Macaca fascicularis: one gene and its partner. The protein of the gene in region 1 purifies or fractionates together with the protein of each later gene. This does not show direct contact. Links are inferred from orthologs where the notes say so. Each region holds a gene or a part of one and is shown in the gene's direction. Other genes may lie near its edges.

Evidence for each region.
Region 2: the proteins of FYTTD1 (region 1) and DDX39B purify together in Homo sapiens (affinity purification with mass spectrometry; 5 studies listed by BioGRID and IntAct, with this or other methods). This does not show direct contact. The link is inferred for Macaca fascicularis from reciprocal best matches to the Homo sapiens genes FYTTD1 and DDX39B.

The regions. Positions count from the first base shown.
Region 1 is NC_088376.1:1,077,011-1,080,826, reverse strand, and holds part of FYTTD1 (UAP56-interacting factor), read left to right. Parts: intron 1-3,331; coding exon 3,332-3,480; intron 3,481-3,816. UniProt on the Homo sapiens protein: Required for mRNA export from the nucleus to the cytoplasm. Acts as an adapter that uses the DDX39B/UAP56-NFX1 pathway to ensure efficient mRNA export and delivering to the nuclear pore.
Region 2 is NC_088378.1:140,188,813-140,192,728, forward strand, and holds the start of DDX39B (spliceosome RNA helicase DDX39B), read left to right. Parts: upstream 1-1,402; 5' UTR 1,403-1,456; exon of another isoform or gene 1,457-2,005; intron 2,006-2,224; exon of another isoform or gene 2,225-2,302; intron 2,303-2,742; 5' UTR 2,743-2,874; coding exon 2,875-3,085; intron 3,086-3,916. UniProt on the Homo sapiens protein: Involved in nuclear export of spliced and unspliced mRNA. Component of the TREX complex which is thought to couple mRNA transcription, processing and nuclear export, and specifically associates with spliced mRNA and not with unspliced pre-mRNA.

The DNA.
Region 1 (3,816 bases):
TTGTATTGGATGATGTCTTTAGTACCCCTTCATAGTGCTTTTTAGAATAGAAGACAGTCACAGAGCATAAGAGGGGAGGGGAGATAATTGGGGCAGTATGTATAGATCTTTCTTGCTTTATGTAATGTGACAATGAAAGGGTGAAAAATACAATCATTGCTAAAACATACAGCTAATGAAGTTTGTTCAAAGGTAGAAAGGTGGGAGAACGAATCATATAGGCCTGATTAGAAAGTAGAGGAGGAGGTCAGGCGCCATGGCTCATGCCAGTAATCCCAGAACTTTGGGAAACCGAGGTGGGTGGATCACGAGGTCAGGAGTTCAAGACCAGCCTGGCCAACATAGTGAAATCCTATCTCTACTAAAAATACAAAAATTAGCTGGGTGTGGTGGTGGCACCTGTAGTCCCAGCTACTTGGGATGCTGAGGCAGGAGAATCTCTTGAACCTGGGAGGCGGAGCTTGCAGTGAGCTGAGATCCGGCCACTGCACTCCAGCCTGGATGACAAAGCGAGACTCTATCTCAAAAAAAAGCAAACCAAAAAAGGCAACACCATGGATAAGAGAAAAAAAAAGACAGTAGAAAGATTGATAAGTATGGGAACAATGTACTGTACTATCAATAGAAATAGCGTCAAGGGATAGAGATCTATTCCATACTTGTTTATTTTATTTTTTTTTATTTTTTGTTTTTTGAGATGGAGTCTTGCTCCATCGCCCAGGCTGGAGTGTGGTAGTGCGATCTTGGCTCACTGCAACCTCCGCCTCCCAGGTTCAAGCGATTCTCATGCCTCAGCCTCCTGAGTAGCTGGGATTACAGGCGCCCACCACCACGCCTGGCAGCTAATTTTTGTATTTCTAGTAGAGACGAGGTTTCACCATGTTGGCCAGGCTGGTCTCGAACTTCTGACCTCAAATGATCCACCAGCCTCATCCTCACTAAGTGTTGGAATTACAGGCGTGAGCTGCGGTACCCAACCTTATTTCATACTTAAGATCTTGTTTTAATCCATTTGATTGCTATTTATGAGAGACTCTTGTCAGTCTTTCTCATCTAGTCCTGAAATTTCGGTATAATAATGGGTTCCTCCTCCTTTTAATCTTTTCTTTTTGCCCTACAAACTCACTCGTTCTTTTGGAATATTTTCCCATTTCTTCCTTTCTCAAGAAAGATCTTTAGTATCAGTCTTATCAGATTATCATAGGAATTATAGTGCTCAGCTCAGATTTTCATACAAATTACAGTGCTCAGCTCAGATTATCATACGAATTACAGCGCTCAGCTCAGCTTACCGTACGAATTAGGGTACTCAGCACAGTGCCTAGGACAGTGAAGGGTAGCTGTCATGTTATTTAACACAAATAGCAAGTGATTCTATATTGGAATTAGTTTTAATGTACAGTTTTTCCCAATATGGTTTAATCTTCATCTGGTTGCAATTTCAGAAGGAAACCACACGTAGGGCAGCAATAATTTGATTTAAAAACTAAAAACTTTAAGCCAGCTGTGGTGGCTCACGCCTGTAACTCCAGCACTTTGGGAAGTCAAGGCAGGCAGATCACCTGAGGTCAGGAGTTTGAGACCAGCCTGACCAACATGGTGAAACCCCGTCTCTACTAAAAATACAAAAATATAACTGGGTGTGGTGGTGTGTGCCTGTAATCCCAGCTACTAGGGAGGCTGAGGCAGGAGAATTGTTTGAACCTGGGAGGTGGAGGTTGCAGTGAGCCGAGATCACGCCATTGCACTCCAGCCTGGGCGACAGAGTGAAACTCCGTCTCAAATAAAAAAAAAAAGAGTTTGCTTTACTGTTTAACTAACATTTCACCTTCTAGAAACTCACATCTTCAGAAAATAATCGTGGATGTATTTAAAAATATATCTATGGTTCCATTGTGATATTATTTATCATTAGAACTAACTGAAATGATTACTCTAAAGTTGATTGGATCAAGTATGGCATATTAAAAAGTAATTCAATAAAAGGATATCAAAAACATGGGATAATATTTTCACAATATAGGGGTGTGTGTGCGTTTGAGACAGGGTGTGTGTGTGTGTGTGTGTGAGACAGCATCTTGCTCTGTCACCCTAGGCTGGAATACAGTGTGATCTCAGCTCACTGTAACCTCTGCTTCCCAAACTCAAGTGATCCTCCTGCCTCAGCCTCCCTATTACCTGGGACTACAGGTGCGTGCCACCACGCCCAGCTAATTTTGTGTATTTTTAGTAGAAACGGGTTTCACAGTGTTAGCCAGGATGGTCTTGATCTCCCGACTTCGTGATTCACCCTCCTCGGCCTCCCAGAGTGCTGAGATTACAGGCGTGAGTCACCACACCCGGCCCCTATTTTTTTTTTAACTAGAAAAAAGTATTTACTTATTTATTTATATATTTATTTATTTTTAAATGTATTTATTTTTTGGAGACAGGGTCTCACTCTGTTGCAGCCTAGAGCTCCTGGACTCAAGCAATCCTCTCACCCCAGCCTCCTGAGTAGCTGGGACTATAGGCGTGTGCTACCATGCCCAACTAATTTTTAGAGGTGAGGCCTCCCTGTGTTGCCCAGGCTGGTCTTGAACTCCTGAGCTCAAGGGATCCTCTTGCCTCGGCCTCCCAAGTGCTGGGATTACAGGCATGAGCCACTGTGCCCAGCCTAGAAAAAGTATTTAAATAGGTAAGATATATAATGGAAAACCAAAGTTGGTAATGTCACATGCCGCAGATTAAAATGTGTCTATTGGCACTGGCGACTTTAGCAAAAGCGATTTGAATGGAGTAGGGCTGAAAGTGAAGCCAGATGGCAATATGTTGTCATAAGTAAATTGGAAATGAGATAGTGATTTCACTCTAGATCAGCACTGTTCAATAAAGATTGAGCACATATGAATATATTTTACTTCGCTGAGTATCTCTAAAATATTTCACTATATGATTTATATAAAATCATCAGTGAAATATTTTACCTTGAAATATCTCGATTCAGACTAGTACTTAACTTCAAGTACTCAGTAGTAACCACAGATGGTTAGTATCGACCCTACTGCACAGGTAAAGACTCTGTGGACTGTCCTGTTTGTTGAGAAACTAATGACGAAAGAGTATGGCCACATGTGCGAATCCTCTAGTTATTTACAGTCCGGTATAGCCACAGAACCCTTCCCAATGCAACAGATTGCTTTAAAATGACATATCTTATGTCATTTAAAAAACATAAATCATAACATAATAAAGGTTCATAACTTCCTCCTTCCTTGGAAAATAGAATATCCTGTGACCCTCCCAGCTGAATTGTTAAATTGACATTTTCTTCTCTTTTTGCTTCCTCTAGGTTTTGGTAAGACTAGTCTGAATCGTAGAGGAAGAGTCATGCCTGGAAAGAGACGTCCTAATGGAGTTATCACTGGCCTCGCAGCTAGGAAAACAACTGGAATTCGAAAAGGAATTAGTCCTATGAATCGTCCACCTCTAAGTGACAAGGTAGGATGATGGCTTAATCCTGGATTAGATGTCCTTTTCCATTATTTGTACTAACATTTCTGTGAATAAGCTTAACAGAAAATTTTATTTGTTTTTATATAGTACTTTGGGACTGATATATCAAATTTAATATCTGAATAAAAATCACTGCCATTCATAAAGAATACCTAAATTTCCACATTCTCAAATATAAGTAAGTTTTTTGTTTGTTTTTTGTTTTTTATATGTAGATAGAGCCTTGCTCTGTTACCCAACTGGAGTGCAGTGACGTGATCTTGGCTCAGCCTTCTGAGTAGCTGGGATTACAGGTGTGTGCCACCATGCCTGGCTAATTTT
Region 2 (3,916 bases), on another chromosome or scaffold:
ATAAATTGAATGATACGTGGGAAAATACCTTCTATGACACTATTCTTGAATTAGTTACTTCATTTTATCACTGAAGACAAGCTTGCTTCACCAAGAATTTGAACCAATAAGGTAACCCGTAGTGTATTTACTAACCAGATTCTTTGAGCAGGGAGGCAGAATACAATAGAGAATTAGAGATGTTTGCATCCTGGCTGTAACCTCACTAGCTGTACTGCTTGGGATATGTTGCTTTGCTTCTGTCAATAAGATGACAAGAACGGTACCTACTCCTTAGTATTAAAAGATTAAGTGTGCTAACAGGGAGAGGGTCAAACGTTTGTTGTTTTATTACACAGCAGGACATCAGGTCTTACTTTTGTAGCTCCCCATCTCAAAGACAGGGATGGCAAATGTTTCATTCAGGAAAAAAAATCCAGGTTGAACAATGGGGCTGTTGGGGTGGGGCCAAGAACATTCTGCTCGAATTAACAGTATTAATGGGCCTGGTGAGGTGGCTCACGCCTGTAATCCCAGCACTTTGGGAGGCCGAGGCAGGTGGATCACCTGAGGTCATACATGGGTGAAAACCCGTCTCTACTAAAAAACCAAAAATTTGCTGGGCGTGGTAGCGGGCGCCTGTAATCCTAGCTACTTGGGAGGCTGAGGCAGGAGAATCGCTTGAACCCAGGAAGCAGAGGTTGCAGTGAGCCGAGACCACGCCATTGCACTCCAGCCTGGGCGACAGAGCGAAACTCTGTCTCAAAACAAAAAGAAAAACAGTATTAATGGAATGTAGTATAACCCTCAAGCCCTACTATTGACACTTGGGGCCGAATCCAGACCCCGTCTTCCCGCTCGGATTCAGAACACCTTCCTGACTCCCTGGCCCTAGGGCCGCAGCTACCTCGGACAGCATCCTTTTGGGAAAATACCGCCCACTAGCCCCACGACTGGGAAAGAGTCGGGCAACGCCCCTCCCCTCAGCTAGGGCCTGCCGTTTCCTAGTGCTTGCCCAGCCGCCCTCAGGTCACCTTCACTACCGGGCCAAGGACCCCGTGGGAACTCGCAGCCCTCGCCACACCGGTTCCTCGCGCATCCATGGAGTGCCTAGAGAGAAGACCTGCATGGCAAAAACCTAAACGAAGAGATGAGAGGCATGGAGAGGAGTACGACAACAGAAGAAAGATAACAGTGGGAGGAGACGTTAGTTTCCTTTATCCGTTTTGTTACTGGCGGTAGCAGGGAAGTTAGAAACGGTTTTAAAACAAATTTCAGACAGGCATTTTCCAAAGGCAAGCCTGGAGCGCACGGATCTGTACAACCGCGGAAGGCCCCGTTTCCGGTCCCTTGCGCCTGCGCTCTTGCAGCCAAGAAGGCGGGAGGCTGGAGTAGGGAGAAGCCTGCAACCGGAAGTGAAGGCAGATTTCCCTCCTTCGTCGCTGTTGCTGCCGCCATACGCGCTCTGCCTGCTTAGGTAAGCTTTGGCGTTCACTACAATCCGTTGCCATCTGCGCTTCTTCGCACCCATCCCGTCACATGGGTTCCTGATACCCTTTTCACAGGCGATCGTCTGGTCTCTGGGGCCTAGTTGGTTCCCCATTTCCGTAGCTTGCATCCCTTTCGAGAGCAAAGAGCTCTTGGGGGAAGGAAGGGAAGCTAAGGGGGGGCCCAATCCAAGATGGTGTCCTCGGCGCCATTGTGTTCGTTTTGCTCCCTTCTTCCAGTAGGTTCTTTTCATATTGGAGGCCTCAGCATCAATGAGAGGCGGCGCTAGGCGTCCCTTGGTCTTGGTATTTGCGGAGGGCGGGGCTCTTATCACCTTACTTGTCCTTTCTTGAGCCCTTTCTTGGCCCACGGTGGGACTGGGAGGAGGAGCCGGTTTTTGGGCCCAGTTGGATTTTTCTCACCTTGACTCGCCCAAGTTAATTTGGAGTGCCTTACAAGTGTTTACTACTGGTGTCATTGTATGTTTCTCCAAAAGGAGTCTCACCTTCGTAGCGCAACAGTGATGTCAGACCACTTGGTAAAGATCCTGTTAAAGCCTGGGCGGGGATTGCCTTTCTCTGTCAACTATTAACTTTGTTATTGTAGGGTGGAGACATGGATTTTTTTTTTTTTGGTGGCCGAGCCATTTGTCTTGCACCGCCCCTCCCCCCCATGCTAATTACACAAGGCTTTCTTAAACAACGGAAGAGAGGATACTGAGAAGTGGGAGGCTGAGAGCTATGGGAGGTGGACGGCGGCCATATGATGTTTTCTTTTCGAAAGATGAGCGCTTTGCGCAGTGATGACCCTCATCTATCACCCTTGACTGATGGCTGCTGAGTTAGGCATCCATAACGGTGGGATTATAATAGGGAAAGCACAGTCTTCCTTTGAGGACTTTCCAGGACTCTGCTTGTCATCTCCATTTTCCACTTTACTAAGTTATTAATCATATTTTATCTTTTATTATCTATTATATTTCCTCACTGTTATTTTCAGATTAAGAATTTATAAGTTGGTCTTCCCCTTCCAACTTTTCTGGTTTCCGCTACTGTGATTGCTAATCTTGTTGGGAACCTGTGTCCTAACCACTTTCGCTGGTGCTGCTTTTTCTGTTCTCTTGTATTTGCTTTTCGTTTTTATGTTGTGTATCTGTTTTTTTTTCCATGTAAAAGTTTCCTAGTTTAGGGAAAGTGGGAACTGGGAATGGAAAAGAGGTGGTGAAGGCTCTGCTCGTGACTAAGTCTTGCTTTTTTTTTTTTTCCCCTTCCCCAGCTCTTCTGTTAGAAATAGTATCTTTATTTTCCTTTGCTGTTCCTCAATCCCCTACTCTTCACCCCTTGTTTTCACCTGTTTTGCGAGAACCCATCCAGATCCCCCTTCCCGTCTTCCCCTGCCGGCCCAGTTATGGCAGAGAACGATGTGGACAATGAGCTCTTGGACTATGAAGATGATGAGGTGGAGACAGCAGCTGGGGGAGATGGGGCTGAGGCCCCTGCCAAGAAGGATGTCAAGGGCTCCTATGTCTCCATCCACAGCTCTGGCTTTCGTGACTTCCTGCTCAAGCCAGAGTTGCTCCGGGCCATTGTCGACTGTGGCTTTGAGCATCCGTCAGAAGGTAAATTTTCTCTTGGGCATGTAGTGCTCATTGGGCTCTTTAAGGGTACAATAAAAAGATGTGTTTGTTGTTGCTCAGGTGGTAAAAGTTTATACTTAAGGCTAGATCAGGGTCAGGTGCAGGGGCTCACGCCTGTAATCCCAGCGCTTTGGGAGGGCAAGGCAGGAGGGGTGGTCACTTGAGCTCGAGTGCAAGAGAAGCCTGGGCAAGATAGGGAGACTCCTGTCTCTACTAAACGAAGCAGGTGAAGGTTGAGGCTTCAGTGAGCCGTTATTGCACTACTGTACACCAGCCGGGGAGACAGGAAAAAAAAAATCAGGAGATAAGTATCGAAAACGATTTTGGATAGAGGAGGATTATACAGACTTGTTCTTTCTTTCATGATAGCACCAAAGTGCTAATTATCCAAAAGTAGCTTCTAGGTCTGCCATTCATTCTTGTGACTGACTTCTTTTGTCTGCTTATTTTTAATTTTGTCATTTGACTTGTAATTTTAAATTTCCAGAAAGGTCCTGATTGGACCTGTAGTCTCCCTCTGTTGGGCCAGGCCAACTGTGGCCTCTGGAAACCTCTATGACTGGTTTAGAGATGACTGGCTTCTGGGTCAGGTACCAAGTCCTTCATTTTGTCCCGGGTTGTTGTTATGTGACCCGAAGTATGGCAACCTAAGTAGGAGAAATGTCTTTAGCAGGTATTCAGATGTCATGAATTGTTACAGATTAAGAAAAATAAGGACAGAGCCAGGAGCATTGAAGGTGAGCGGTTGGTAGATGCAAGGGGGCTGTTAGTAGGACTGGGAAGGCCTAGATCTGGAGGAGGCCAAAGCTGGGA